Linked DNA regions of Notamacropus eugenii. The protein of the gene in region 2 interacts with the protein of the main gene of each other region in a pairwise test. Links are inferred from orthologs where the notes say so. Each region holds a gene or a part of one and is shown on either strand. Other genes may lie near its edges.

Region 1 (7,374 bases), on a different chromosome or scaffold from region 2:
GAACAAGGTATACTCATCCAGAGCTGAGGTCCAGTCATGGATTTCATCCAAGGCTCAGTGATGTCCCTGATGTCTATTTTACCCCATTGAATTAGGACCCATGGTTTTTATTGTTTATTCTTTCAAGTTTAAACATTTTCATCTAGACATTTGAAGCCACGGGTTTTGTTATTGAATCTTTTCCTGAATATTGTCTTCTCCGAATTTCTGGATGCCTCAGCTTCTAAATATTATCTTATTTTATACTCATAACAATAATCACATAGAGATTAAGGTACTTGCCCATGGTCACACAACTAAGTCTGAGGCTGGATTTGAACACAGGTCTTCTTGATTCCAGGCCTCTAACTACTGTGCCATTTAGTTGTCTCTTTCCCTCATTCTTTTTATTTTAAACCTCTTTTGATTAGATTTACTGGACACCTGGTTGGATTCACAAGGGTGGAGATAGCAAGTCTTATTAGTAAGTTGCTGCGGTAAGCCAGATGGAAACTAATGAGAGACTGAACTTCATTTTTTAAGGAAATGGTGTTACAAAACAAACATTATTAATTCCCCCAATCCCTCATGTTACAGTCCAATGTGAAAACACAGGAATGTGGTATGCATGTTGTGCAAGCTTGGCCAAATTTTATACATCACAGGATTTTGAGTTAAAAAGGCACTTCGAGATAATCAAGTGAGTGCATTTCCCTCAGTTTATAGTTGAGGAAACTGAGACCCAGGGAGTGGAAGTGACTTGTTGAAGACCACAGTGCTGGAAGGGAGCTGAGCTTAAGACTCAAATCCAGGTCTTCTGCCTCCAAATCCAATCCTCTTTCAACTACAACATGTACTCACACTAAGTTCTCAATAAATAGCTATTGCATCGATTCATACAATTTCTTGATTTATAATAGCTGTGCAAATAGGCATCGCTGCCTGCCAAAAACACTATTTCTCAACTCTGCTCCTTGAAGACAGACTACAATGTGGTCCAGTGGATGGAGTTCTGAATTTGGAGTCATTGGACCTGGGTTCAAACCACTGCTACTTACAATCACTCAAACAACATTTTTATTAAAGATTTATTTTAATGGCAAGTCTGTGCTAACTGCTGGGGCTACAATGACAAAAGTGAAACTCGAGTATACAGTCTGGTGGAGGAGATAATGTCTAAATGCATGCACACACACACACACACACACACACACATACACACACACACACAGATATTATATCTAAACCCTTACAATGAATAGAAGGAGGGAATTAACCGCTAGGGGACTTACCTGTGCAAATTTGGACAAATCACTTAAACTCTTTAGGTCTCAGTTTCCTCATCTGTAAAATGAGGGGGTTGGAGAAGACCTTTAAGATCCCTTCCAGCCCTAAGTCTATGATCTACTTACAATTCTGCCTTCCCTCTCTTCTCCTCCCCTCCCTCTGGGAGGCAGTGTGGTACAATGGAATGAGCCCTGGATCTGTGGTCAGATGACCTGGGTTTGAATTTCAGTTCTACTACTTACTACCCATTTGATCTTGGACCAGCCATTTAGACTCTTTGTGCCTCAGTTTCCTCACTTGTAAAATAAAGGACTTAAATTAGGTGCCCGCTGAAGGCTATTCATGTGAACATTAGTGCGTGTTGGTGAAGACTGCCTGACCAATTTGCACTAGATACAACACCCACATGCATCATCTAATAAACTGATTTTACTAAATACCCTAAGGAAGTTTGTTTCAATACACATGTACTTCAGCCAGATAATAAGACCAACAGGAATAGTAGATGGGCATTAGATCTTCAATTTGATTGGTTTAGGGAGAGCCCCAGATGAGATTTCCTTCCCAAATGCAGGTGGGCACTATTTTAGCAATTTCTAGTCATCGAGAGTTGCCTAGAACAGAGATGTTAAGTAATTTGCCCAGGGTCAGTATGTATCAGTGGCAGGACTTGAACTGGGTCTTCCGAGGTCAAATCTCTGCTTCACCACTTTGCCTCTAATAAACTCCAAAGTCTTTGGAAAGTATCTACTGTGGCTATAAAGGGAACTTCATGCTACACCATTTGGAGAGATGCAGGGGTGTGTGTGATTCCAGACTCTGTTACGAGAGACATGAATTCAAGTTCTAGATCCACCACAGCTGTTGTCCAGACTTTCATTTTGCTTCAGTTTCCTAGTTTCCTCATCAGTGGGTATAACATTTGCATTCCCTTGCCCTCAGGGCTATTATAACCGCTGCTTCTGCTGTCATCCTTATGCTGTAAGGATCAAAGAAGATAATGGATACGGGGTGATTTGTAATCATCAAGTGTCGAATAAATGAAAACTGTTGTTACATAGCTACCAATGTTAGGTAGTGAAAAGCATTTCGGATCTGAAGTCAGAAGACAGAAGTTCAAATCCTAATTCTGCCACTAACTAGTTCTGTGATTTCAGACAAGTCACCTAACTTTTCTCAATCTCAATTCCCCCATCTAAAAAAAAGGGGGAGGGGGGAATAATACATACCTTATAGAACTGTTATGAAGCTTAGATAATGGATGTAAGGTAATTTGTAAAGCACCAGATACTAGCTATTGTTACTGAGTACCTTTATTCTTTTCAAATCCTGGCTCTGCCATTTATTTCTACCCTGTGACCTTAGGTAAGTAACAACCTCACTGGACCTTAATTCCTCATCTGTAGAATCAGGGACTTGAGCTTGATAGATACCTTTTAAGGTTTATTCTAGCACTGAACCTATGATCCTGTGATCATGTGATTCCATTGGTAAAGGGAACTCCCAAATGGAGGAGCTCTCTTCAGATGCAGGTGGGCACCCTCTGATATCTGTAAGCTTTGACATTTGCTCCATGGGACTATGTGCAGATGTGCAGAGTAGACTATCATGCTAATGCAAGTGCATGTGGAAATCAGAGTGAGTGTACAATAAATCCGATACTTAACCTTGAAACTTGAAGTATTCTCACTTGAAAATGAAATCAGGCAAAAAAAAGAAAAGAAAATGAAATCAGACTAGAAAAATGTTGTCCTTTGCATTAAAAATAAACAACATGTTTCCCTGGGTCCTCTATCCCACCTTCAAATCTTTCACTCTCCAAAAAAGAAATAGAAGAAAAAGAAAATAAACGCAACTCTCTGGGACTCAGTGGGGTGCAGTGGAGTGATTTGGATTTGGATTCCTTGGATTTGGAATAAAAGAAGGAGGGTTCAGATTCTGTTATTCATTGCCTAAGTCTTTGTAATGAGTCATTTCTTCATTAAGTCATGGATTCCTCATCTATAAAATGAAAGGAAGATCTAGATGTGATCTCTGAGGTCTCTTCCATCTCTAAATGTGTGAGCCTAAGGATGAAAAAGAATTGTAACATTCATTACATGCTCAAGCAATGACCATGGAGATTAGGATAAATAACATCTTTCCTGCAAAAAAGGGACTTCTCTGTTATTAAACCTACAAGAAGCCTTACCCTGTCCCTCTCTGAGATCACCCACATTTCAGTTACCTTGTATATATATCTTGTACATACATAGCTGTTTGTGTACTGTTGCCCTCCTCGGAAAATGATGTCCTTCAGGGCGAGGACTGCTTTTGCCCTTTGTGTCTTCATTGCGTAGCACAGCGCTTAATTAAATGTTTGTTGATTGACTGACTGACTACGCTGTCAGACTTCAGTTTTTCAACTAATCTAAAAGAAGTGCGCTTGTGCCTGTGAGAATGTGTTTGTTTCTGCGTCTGTGTGTGTGTCATTCACTGCCTGTTGCTCTCTGTGTGCCACTGTCTTTGTCCCAATGTTTACAACTGTTTCTTGGTGCGCGTACCCATGTGTCTGTATGCCTGTGTCTGTGTGTGTCTAGGTACCATAGTTACATAATTAGGGTTAGAGTTACTCGGTGTTCTTGCGTCTTCGCGTGTGCCTGTGTACCTATGTCTTTCTCGGTCTCTCTCTCTGGATCTCTGCGTCTGTGTGCGCTAACGTTTTTCTCGGTATGCCTGTCTGTGTGTGTGACTGTCTCTCCGCATCTCATTACATGTGTGTGTCTCCTGGGATCTGCTGACTCCCAACGGGGCGTCCAGTCTGCAAGGCCGGGGCAGGCAGAGCTGCACCCCCTGGGGCTCCCGCGGAAACCCAGAGCCCAGATCTTCCACATTCAGCGCGCCCTGAATAAGGTGCGGCTCCGGGGAGGGCCGGGACTCCCAGCAGCAGGGGGGGAGGGGCGGGGTCTCCCTCACACCATTGGCCGAAAGTAACATAACGTCATCGGATGGAGGCGGGCCGGGGGACAACCGAAGTTCTGAAGTCCGGGGCGCATAGCGGGCTCCGAGCACTTGCAGTCTGCGCGCTCGCTGCGAGAAGCTGCCGCTTTCGCTGTTCCTAAGGTCAGATCCTCAGACTGGGGCGCGCCCTGCTTTCCTCCTTCCCCTCTGTTCCTGGAGGTCCTGTGCACCTTACGGAGACTGAATGACGGGCCCTCGTCGGGCGAGCAGCTGCTTGGGACTCTCAGGGAGCTGAGCCCCTGCCAAGAAGAGATTGGCAGCGGGGTACTCTCAATCAAGGCTTGTGGACCTCCAGGGACGGCCCCGCCCCCCGGGGGGACAGCTTGGGGGGTCATGTCTGCCAACTTGAGCCACAGCTTTTTAAACGCCACCATTCAGAAGGGTGAAGCGTGGATGGTGGGCTTGGGCATTGTCATGTCCATTATAGTTCTAGCCACTGTGTTTGGCAATGTGCTGGTCATCACAGCCATCGCCAGGTTCCAGCGTTTGCAGACAGTCACTAACTACTTCATCACATCACTGGCTTGTGCTGACCTGGTTATGGGGCTGGCAGTGGTGCCTTTTGGTGCCAGTCACATCCTCATGGAAATGTGGACCTTTGGGAACTTTTGGTGTGAGTTCTGGACCTCCATTGATGTTCTGTGTGTCACAGCTAGCATCGAGACCCTCTGCGTTATTGCTGTGGACCGCTACTTCGCCATCACAGCACCTTTTCGGTACCAGAGTCTGCTTACCAAGGGCAAGGCCAGGGTGGTCATCCTAGTGGTCTGGGTGGTATCGGCCCTCACCTCCTTCCTGCCCATTCAGATGCACTGGTATCGTGCCAGCCACCAGGAAGCTCTCTCATGTTATGAGAAGGAGACCTGCTGTGACTTCTTCACTAACCAGGCTTATGCCATTGCTTCCTCTATTGTGTCCTTTTATGTGCCTCTGGTGGTCATGGTATTTGTGTACTCCCGGGTCTTCCAGGTGGCCAAGAAGCAACTTAAGAAGATAGATAAATCTGAGGGCCGCTTTCATGTCCAGAACAGCAACCAGATGGAGCAAAATGGAAGGACAAGTCACCGAAGGTCTTCCAAGTTCTGTTTGAAGGAACATAAAGCTCTCAAGACCTTGGGTATCATCATGGGGACCTTTACCCTCTGTTGGTTGCCTTTCTTCATTGTTAACATTGTCCATGCGATACAGGACAACATTGTCCCCAAATATGTGTACATTTTTCTGAACTGGGTGGGCTACGCCAATTCAGCCTTCAACCCGCTGATCTACTGCCGGAGCCCGGACTTCAGATATGCCTTTCAGGAGCTCCTCTGTTTCAGGAGGTCAGCCCTGAAGCTCTATGGCAATGGCCACTCCAGCAACAGCAATGGGAGAAGTGAGCCCAACGAGGAGCGAGGGAGCTATCCCACCGAGCAGGAGAAGGAGATCGAGCTGCTGTATGAAGACCTCCCAGGCACTGAGGGCTTTTTGAACTGTGCAGGTACTGTGCCTAATGCTAGCGCGACCTTAGAGAGCCAGGATCAGACTCTGGATGATACCCCCTTGTGACTGTCTCTCTGGTTGGTAAAAAACCCTCAGCAAACCAAGCAAGGTGGGGAAAAAGAAAGAATCCACTTTTTAAAAGAACAGCAACCACCAACCCTCCCCCCCCCCCAAAACAATCCACAAAAACAACTCGTCACCAACACTCAAATACTAAGCACACTCTAACTCCTGAGCTAGAAATGTCTAGTCAGCCTAGAGAGAGATGGGCAGGTGGAGGAGGACAGACTTAGCCTATTTATTTTTTAAGTTTTTAAGTTAACAGGAAACAAAATAACTCACCCACCAGTTCTAGGGATTCTGCATTTCTGTAACAGGTGGGTTCTGCCTGGAATGGAGTTTGGAAGTGTATATCCCACTTCAAGGATCTCAGACCTTGAGGACTTGGTCGAGTTTGGATGACTTTCTTCTAGATCTACCTCATTTGTCAAGTATTAGGGTTAGCATACTTCTACTTGGGACATCTATCTGGAGGAGCAAGCCTTCCCCCTGGGCCTTGCGGATGCTCCAGCCGGACCTGGCTGTCCATATGGATTCGTCTTATCCTCCTATTGGCTCACATGGGCTATTGGAGGCAGGGACACAGAGGGGACAGCTTCTGCTGTTGAATGAGCAAAGTCTAAAGTTTACAGTAAATAAATTGTTTTGCTGTGACATCATTACACCTGTTTGTCCAAATCCCCCCAGCGGAACATTCTTGTTGGAAACCACAGGTAACTGTTTGTAATAGCTGTCCAGTGACTTAATGGTGAATTAATAGTAACAATAAGACCTCACATTTCTGTGGTGTTTACCAGTTTTACCTAGTGCTATTCTCCATAGCTTTGTGAGGTGTATAGGGGGAAATATCATCTCCATTGTATTAAGGAGCTCAAGGTTCAGGAGGTGAAGGAAGGGACTTGCCTATGGTCATATGGCTACAAAGTGTTGATGGAGACTTAAACCCAGGGCTTTTGCTCTAGCTCGTCTTCTTTTTTCATGCCACACTTCCTGGAATTACACTTACACATAGCTTAAGTCTGTTGGCATTGAATGTTATAATAAACACGTCTCACATAATCCTTCTACCCTAAATCAGGCTTCTCTGATTTGCTTATGTTGCTCATTAGTGTACCTATTTATGTATTATTGATATGTAAATATATTTAATGATTATTCAATAATAAAATTATTATTTATTATTAATGGGAAGTTGTCAATTTCCCATTAATTCTTTATTCCAAAATTATCCGTGGGAAGATGGTGGTACAGTGGAAAGAGGGATGAAAAAAGCAGCTGGGTTCAAGTGCCCACTGATACTTATTACCCAAGTGACCTTAGTGAAATTACTTAGCTAACTTAGACCTCTGTTTCCTCATCTGTAAAAAGAGGAGGCTGGATTATTAGCTGGCCTCTGATGTCCTTGCAGCTCTAGATTTAGTATCCTATGATGAAGTAAAATTGTGATCAAGTAAAAACTTCAGTTCAGTTCAATAATAATCAGACTTATAGTTCTCATTTACATAGCCCATCAAAATTACAGAGCTCTTTACAGACCCATTACTTCATTGGATTCCCATGCTTTCA
Region 2 (7,490 bases):
GTCACATCCTAATAGGTTTGGGGATTTTGGTTACGTAAGACAAAGGGGGTGGGAGAAATCGGCAATGGTCACTTGCTCTTTGACTCAAACTATAGTCACATACTGCCTCACAACTGCAGCTAATCATGCCTACAGGTCAGTTAATAACCATATGTATGTAACTTTTGAGTGGCACACTTTGGGGGATTTCTCACTTCTGCTTATTGTTACCAAAGAGATGATTTTGGAAAACTTCAGTATCTAACACAGTGCCCCTCCCCAAGCCCATGGGTATAGTTAAAAACTCTCCTTTTAGCTCATGGATTCACAAAACTCAAAACATGAATAAAGTTTTTTAGCAGTTTATGGAAAGCAATAATGAATGCTTTTGTAAAGTCTATAGAAAAATAGAAATACCTAGCAGTAAGCAACTTTCTTCCAATTTCCTTTCTAAAGGGTCTTTTGGTCCTGGGACAATTTTCCTTGGGTAGTCAGGGGTGGTGGTGGGGGGTGGGGGGTTGTCCCGGGTCTGTCCCCGGGACCTTCGAGTGAGAATCTCCCTTCGGTGGGCACCGCTTCGGACGTCTCCGGACCTACCCCGGGGGACACGGCGGCAGGCAATAATCAGGAAATGCGCAGGAGGTTCATAGCTTTATTGCATGGAGGAGTCCCACGAGCAGTTCAGGGCGTTGTCTTATATAGGGAGGTTCTTCCGGGCTGCCATCCTAACCCGCCCCGAGGGCGAGGCCTACCACCCGATTGGATCCAGCCCACCCGACCAATCCCGTGGGCTCACAACTCCTCTATGGAAGCCGTGTCCCCCTCGGATTGGTGGGCTGCCACTCCCGGGGAGGCCCCTATCCGCCCAGGCGCCTAGGACCGACCCCCGTCAGGGGGTGGGGGTGGGGTCTCTTCAAATTACCTGGGAGCAATTTCCTAAAGTATCTAGGGAAGGAAGGGAACAATAACATCTTGTCTTTCACAATGTTTTGTAATCATTGCTACAAGATTATTGACAGGATCACCTAGATCTACATGGAAAAAAAAGTTCACTCTCCTCTAAGTTTTGTTTTTTTGTAAATGGTGGCATCCTATAGACACAACCTAAGTCAAGGAAAAACTCCACTAAGCTTTAGTACACAGCAATTTGACCAAATTCTAGTTTTGGTAATTTTATTTTGCCCTCATAAATGCCTCTCTAATTTCAACAAGCTAAAGAACAAGCATGAATACAGAAGGCTGTTTCCTATCAACAATTTTCTATTTAGTAGGAGTGTAATTTTTGTTAAATCTTAATACTTTCTGTGGAATATCAGGTTCTTCAGTAAGACCTGACACCTATGCAAATGAATATGTTGACAAACTATTCAGACTAATTTCAGCTACTTTTAAGAAGTATTTAAATAGTTACAAGGTTAATTTATGTAAAACTTTGTTTACCATTGGAGTATTTCAAAGCAAACAATGGTAACATTTATTTTATTTATTTAGTCCCAATATGGCCAAGGAAATATTTCCTAAACTCTTTTAGTTATATTTATTGTAGAAAAATTCTTAATTTGAAACTTTGTAAGGTGTCACTCTGGCAAGAGATTGAATAATCTATCATACTTCCAAAATAGAGAAAATGCTCTTAGGCTTTTGGAAACAATTATTTATATTTTTGTATATTTATGTATAATATTATTTATATATTATATATTTGTATAAATTTTATACTGATATAAATATTATAGGACTTAATAGTACATTAAAAATGCTGTTGCTTAATATCTTGGCAAAGAATACTGGAGTGCTTTGCCATTTCCTTCTTCAATGTGTCCCAATTTTACAAACCAAGATCGGAGGCAAATAGGAGTTAAATGACTTGCCCAGGGTTGAACAGCTAGTTCAATTTGACAGTAGATTTGAACTCAGATCTTCCTGAATCCAGAACTGATGCTTTATCCATTTCACCACCTAGCTGCCCACCTTAAAAATAGCTGACCTCAAAAGTCTACCCTAACCCAAAGTATTTTCTTTTTCTTTTAATACCATTTTCTTCCTCATGCTCCACCTGGGTTTCTCCATGGCACTCATCCAGACTTGGCCTCATTAAAAGTTATGTTAGTGTGTATGTATCCTCTAGATATTTTTTCCTTTACCTTACTTCCTTGTCAAAAACAGTTTTCAGCATGCCATCTCTTGGAAAGTTCCTGAAAAACTAATTTACACTAAGCTTTAACAGGGACTGCATGTTTCCCAGGAATTCTGGATATCTTCCCAGTGACAGCACAAGGAATGAAATTCTTATGTTGGATGTCCAGGAATCAGCATCAGACCAATAAAAGGCACTTTGGAAGTGGAGGTCCCAAATCTAATCATGTAAGCAAGGACTTTTTCTACCTGCCAGGCAAGCCCTGATGACATATGTTGATTACTGTACAATGGAAGTGGACCAGAATGACATCACTATGTCAGGGTCAGTGTATAATGTGTCTGACTGGCTGATCAGACCAATGCAAGCTTGGAAGACTTTACCACAGGTAGGGCACAAATAGTCCATATGAACATTTGTAATGGAGATATCTCTAAATTTTGTGTATCTCACTTTGAGTGACTGCAATTCTGCTTTGCTCATGGAGCACACAGTACCTTCTTTGATTCCTACATGCCACGATGGGCAGCCCTGTGCCAGAGTTTCTCATATCTCCCAAATGATTCCAAATGCAAAATGTTACTGACAAGTTAAACATAAATAAAAGACACATTCATTTTGGCCAATGGCCTTATGTGATTGGGGTTTGTTTCTTTAGTTTGAAGGTGACACCTCTTCTATGAGGGTGCTAAGCACTCAATTAGCATTAAGTACCTACTAGTGCCAGGCACTGTGCTAAACTCAGAGGACACAAAGGAAGGAAAAGACAGACCCTACTCTCAAAGAGTTTATAATCTGAGGGGGTGGGAAAAGAGACAGCATGCAGACAAGCATTTACATATACAAGACGAACAGGAGAATCTTGGACGGAAAGTTCTACCTTCTGTGAACTGCGACATTAGCAGCTGTAGCTAGCTTTGTTGTTGTCCGGTCACCACAGCTTGCCAATGCCGTCCACAGGGTTTTCTTGGCAAAGACAATCAAGTGGTTTGCCATTTCCTTCTCCAGTGGATTAAAGCAAACAGAAGTGGTTTGCGAGGAGGGATCTGGTCTTTCTGACTCCATATCCTGCACGCTAGCTGGCCGGTGTAGCGGCCCCCTTTAGCTATCTACCTTTGTTAAATTTAGGCATTGATTCCAAGTCCTCTGCTGGTGGGGCTAGGCATTATTACGGTGCCAGTTCTGCCAGGTATTTGGTTTCTATACAAACCGAGCCACTACTTGGAGGACAGCTGCTAACCCCCACAACACTGCATTACCCTAGGACAGTCCACCACACTCTCCCAGTGCTAAATTTGAGGGTCCTTGTCTTATCTTTGTTGTTAAATCATCAATTAAAAAAAGTTTTGCGGTCTGTTGCCATCACATTCAGAGACCCCACCGCGTGAATAGCACATGGGAAAGTTCGTCCTATTTCGTTGAGGAGAAAGGCTGGTGCTCCGGGAACCTCCCCTAATCAAACCCTCATTTATATTTGCTCCTGGCTTCATGCCACGTTCGTGTTTTCAATGCTAGTATTATTTATCTGGTTTTTGCGTCACTGACAATAAGGCATATTTCAACACACCAAGTACTGCGGCCCTTCTCGGAATACAAAGTGTTGGATTAGAAGTAAGGCCTTTCCATCTCCCCTCCCCCACCCCCCCCAAAACAACAAAACCGCCAAAAGAAGCATCCACCCCCAAATCTAATTATATATAGTTCCTTCTCTGGAAGAGGTGGGTGCCTGGCACTCCAGAATCAGCCAGAGGGTTTTCGCGAAGGCTTCCAAAGCCTCGCGTGGGGCCGATGCGCCCCGCCCAACATCTGTCCAACCGACTTTGCTCCTCTTCCCGCCCGCCGCCGGCCTGTCGGCTTGCCGGTCCTGCCGCTATTACAAGTTCCAAGGTGCACTGCGCATCGGGCGCCCCAAGGAAGACTCCGACTCCCAGCATGCTCCACCCCCAATGGCTAGGTCTCTACACTCCGCCCGCCTGGAACGTTGTATGCTGGGAGTCGTAGTTTCTGAAGGCGTCTGCCCCAAGTCGTTTCCCTCGCATCCGTTCCTCAGCTCCAACCCTAGAAGGTGTCACCTCCGTGCGGACTCCCAGATCCCGCGGATAGGGGAGGGAAGGGATTGCTTCTGAGCACAGGCATCTTCAGTCCCGCGGAAACTCCGCCCCCTTTTCCCTCCCTTCCCCCCGCCCCACGCCGCGACATTTCCAGTTCCACTGACAAGAGTCCCAGCAAAGCTTTCGGGCTGCAAGAAATTTATAGAACACGCGGGAGCGCGCAGGCGCGTGAAGGCCCATGTCACATTAAGGTTCCAAGGGCGGGACGGGCGAAGAGGAGGCCCAGGCCGCCGCGGTGGCGCGCACGCTGCACGCAGAGGAGCGTCACGTGGGGCAGCGAGGATCGCAGTGCGCGTGGCCGCGGTGGCTGGTGTGGGGTTGAGTCAGTTGTTAGTGGAGGGGGGGGAAGCGACTGGTCGTCAGACTGCCCGATCCGCTGGCTGGAGCAGGAAGCGAGCGAGCGGTGAGCCCAGGCTGGTGACTGTGCCCTTCTCACAGCCCCGGCGCTTCCCCCACTCTCCTCCACCTCGGGCTCCTCCCACTCTCCCTCCCCCGGACACCCCCCTCCCCCCCACCGGGCAAACCGCCGCCTCGGGCGCGCCCCCGCTCCCCCTGCGCTGTCTCTCCGATGGCGGCCGCTGCCGGGGCCATGGCAAAGCACGAGCAGATTCTGCTCCTCGACCCGCCCACAGACCTCAAATTTAAAGGTAGGTAGCGAGGTGGGCCTCGGCGAGGGGAGCGGGGAGGTCTAGGCCGTCGGCTCCGCTCTTGGGGTGCTTTCCCTCTTCCTTTTTTTTCGGTGGGGGTGGAAGGTTTGACGAGGAGGAAGGAGCGTCGTCCGCCCCCCTCGCCTTGTTCGCCGTGTTTCTGTCCGCGTCTCCCAGCTTCTTCTCTTCTTTCTCGGCGTCAGCCTTTCCTCTCCGCTCCCCTCCCCCGCCCGTTCCCACTCACTCAGTTTCACGCGCGCGCACGCCCAGCTTGTGCCGGGGGCTGGGGGGGGGGGCGGAGGAGGCCGAGGCCCAGGGAAGGGAAGGGAAGGCGAGCGAGCTCGGGGTGCCGGGACCAGGCGCCTTGGCCGCCATCTTGGGATCCCGCCGGGAGGCAGCTTGTGGGTCTTGGGTTCGCGGCGGTCGCTTCTGTTCCTGACCTTCCCTCCTTGCGCCGGGGGCTCGTTGGGCTTTCTTGGGGCGGGCGAGGGAGGCGACCTCGGAGCGTGTGCGCCCGGGGGCTCCTGCCAGGCCCGGGGGTAGCGCGTGCTGCTCCCGCGGGCTCGGGCCGGGGCGGCTTGCCGGGCCCCTCGGCTCCTTCCCGGCGCCCCGTCCTGAGGTCCGCTCTGCCGCCCGGATGCGGGCTGGGGGAGGCTGAGGAGCGGGGGGCTTGCTGACCTCCTGTAAGTAGTGCGCCAGGGGAGGGGGCGCATGTGTCCCTCGCTGGTGCGGTTTTGCCTGCCCATTTGTGTTCCAGGGTTTGCGGTTCCCATAGAAAGTCAGAAAGGAAACTTAGGAAAACTCCTTAGTTCAGAGGCTTTGTTGTAAAGTAATTTCGTACCAGAACCTTTGGTTCTTCCATACCTTAAGAGGGGAGACATCACGCTCTTAAAGGACTTGGCATCTGAAGGACCTGGTGGTTATAGGCGCCTTGCCCTAGTTTTGGTCGTCCTCTTCCCTCTAACTCCGCTGTGGGCTTGGACAAGTCACTTACTTTCGTGTGTAAAGTGAGGAAGAAGGATGAGTGTCATTGGACTAGGTAGTCTTCCTTCCACCTGCTGTCTTCAATGCTAAAGTGGTACTAGTGGCTAGGGTTCTTCCACGTCTTTTTTCTGGTGACCTTAGGAGACATACATCTTAACATTAGTGTCTCCTTTTACCGCATTATGGCCTTGAACAAATCACTTCCAAGTTAATACAGGAAATCACTCACAGTCCGAATGAGGGTCAAAGGCGATAATGCTTGGGACAGGGACGTAGAGATGATAGATATAAATGAGCCTAAAGTTGTAAAAATACCTGAAACTGTAAATGGACCTAAGTTGGTGAGAGTGGGCAGAATTATCTTGGAGGTGATGTCTCCGGTACTATTTTCTGTTTGCTATTATTGTAGGAATCTAGGTGCTCTTTGGGATATCAAACATTGTTTAGGGGACTTAATGAATGAATGAAAAAAGTTATTAAGTGTTATTGGTGTCACAGGCACTGTGCATTAAGATCAAGGAAGTATATTTTAGGTGTTACATCTAAGGCATGACTTAACCTTGTTAAATAGTTAAGTCCTATGTCTTTTTAAAAATTCAATTTTAAAAATTCCGTTTAGTTTAAAAAAAAATTAAAGTATTTCAAAGGGTAAAATGAAACGTGATGAATCTGTTATGTTCTGGGAAGTGTCAGGCCAACAGGAAAATACTTGCATTCCTGCCAGCAACTCATCACAGGAAAGTTAATATAGCAAAGTTGCTTTATACATCCAGGAAATTCGTTTTATGAAGCTTTGGTGTTAGGATACTATTACACAACTAGTGCTTGGCTTTTTACACTGGATTATTTTCTGTGATTCTATAGAAAAGTTATGTAAGCAATTGAGTAAGAGTTTTGTTTCAAGGCAAGTATGAGAAGATTTATTGTTTTGAGGAGTTATGGGACACCTCTGGAAAGAACCAGGTTATGTATATTGTATTCATTCATATGGTTTTAATTAAAAAAAAAGACCTTTCCTGAAAGCCTGAAATTACATCAATAGCCACCTGCTGTTAAAATATTTTGATGTAATCTATAGTGGTGAATACTTTTGTATGTATGTTTTTTTACTTTATCCTGTTGCTTTGGTAGCCTGTGTTCCTGAAATAATATTGTCTATACAAGATAAAGTCTCTTGTGCTGCCATCAGTCTTGGAAATTAGTATTAGGTGAGAAGCTGCCTTATTGGCCAAGTTGGAGGGTTTCTTATGAGAAAATGTTGCTGTTGGGATGAAGAAAGGGGACCCTCTCACCTGAGGTGAAAGGCCCTTGCTTATCTTTTATGCATTCAAAACTGGACCTGTGCTTCCAATGTAATCATAAATGTTTTGAGCATTTAGAAGTTATTTTTCAAACTTAGGAAAACATTGTACCCTTCACTCCAATAAAAGAATTAATCATTAAAGATGGATGCGTTCAGTTTGGTTTAACTGGACACCAAGAAAAATAGAGAAAGCCTATTGTCTAGATTTTGCTATACAATCCGTAGACCTGGTCCACAGATAAATATATTTTGGACTGATGCTGTAAATGGACCTAACTGAGGAGAATAGGCTAGATTACCTTTGAGATGTCATATATTTAGTTCTTTTG

Evidence for each region.
Region 1: the proteins of VAPA (region 2) and ADRB2 interact in a protein complementation assay, tested with the Homo sapiens proteins (2 studies listed by BioGRID and IntAct, with this or other methods). The link is inferred for Notamacropus eugenii from reciprocal best matches to the Homo sapiens genes VAPA and ADRB2.

What each region holds. Positions count from the first base shown.
Region 1 is NC_092872.1:409,722,885-409,730,258, reverse strand, and holds the start of ADRB2 (beta-2 adrenergic receptor), read left to right. Parts: upstream 1-4,310; 5' UTR 4,311-4,599; coding exon 4,600-5,746; exon of another isoform or gene 5,747-6,521; intron 6,522-7,374. UniProt on the Homo sapiens protein: Beta-adrenergic receptors mediate the catecholamine-induced activation of adenylate cyclase through the action of G proteins. The beta-2-adrenergic receptor binds epinephrine with an approximately 30-fold greater affinity than it does norepinephrine.
Region 2 is NC_092875.1:233,202,442-233,209,931, reverse strand, and holds the start of VAPA (vesicle-associated membrane protein-associated protein A), read left to right. Parts: upstream 1-4,483; 5' UTR 4,484-4,795; coding exon 4,796-4,874; intron 4,875-7,490. UniProt on the Homo sapiens protein: Endoplasmic reticulum (ER)-anchored protein that mediates the formation of contact sites between the ER and endosomes via interaction with FFAT motif-containing proteins such as STARD3 or WDR44.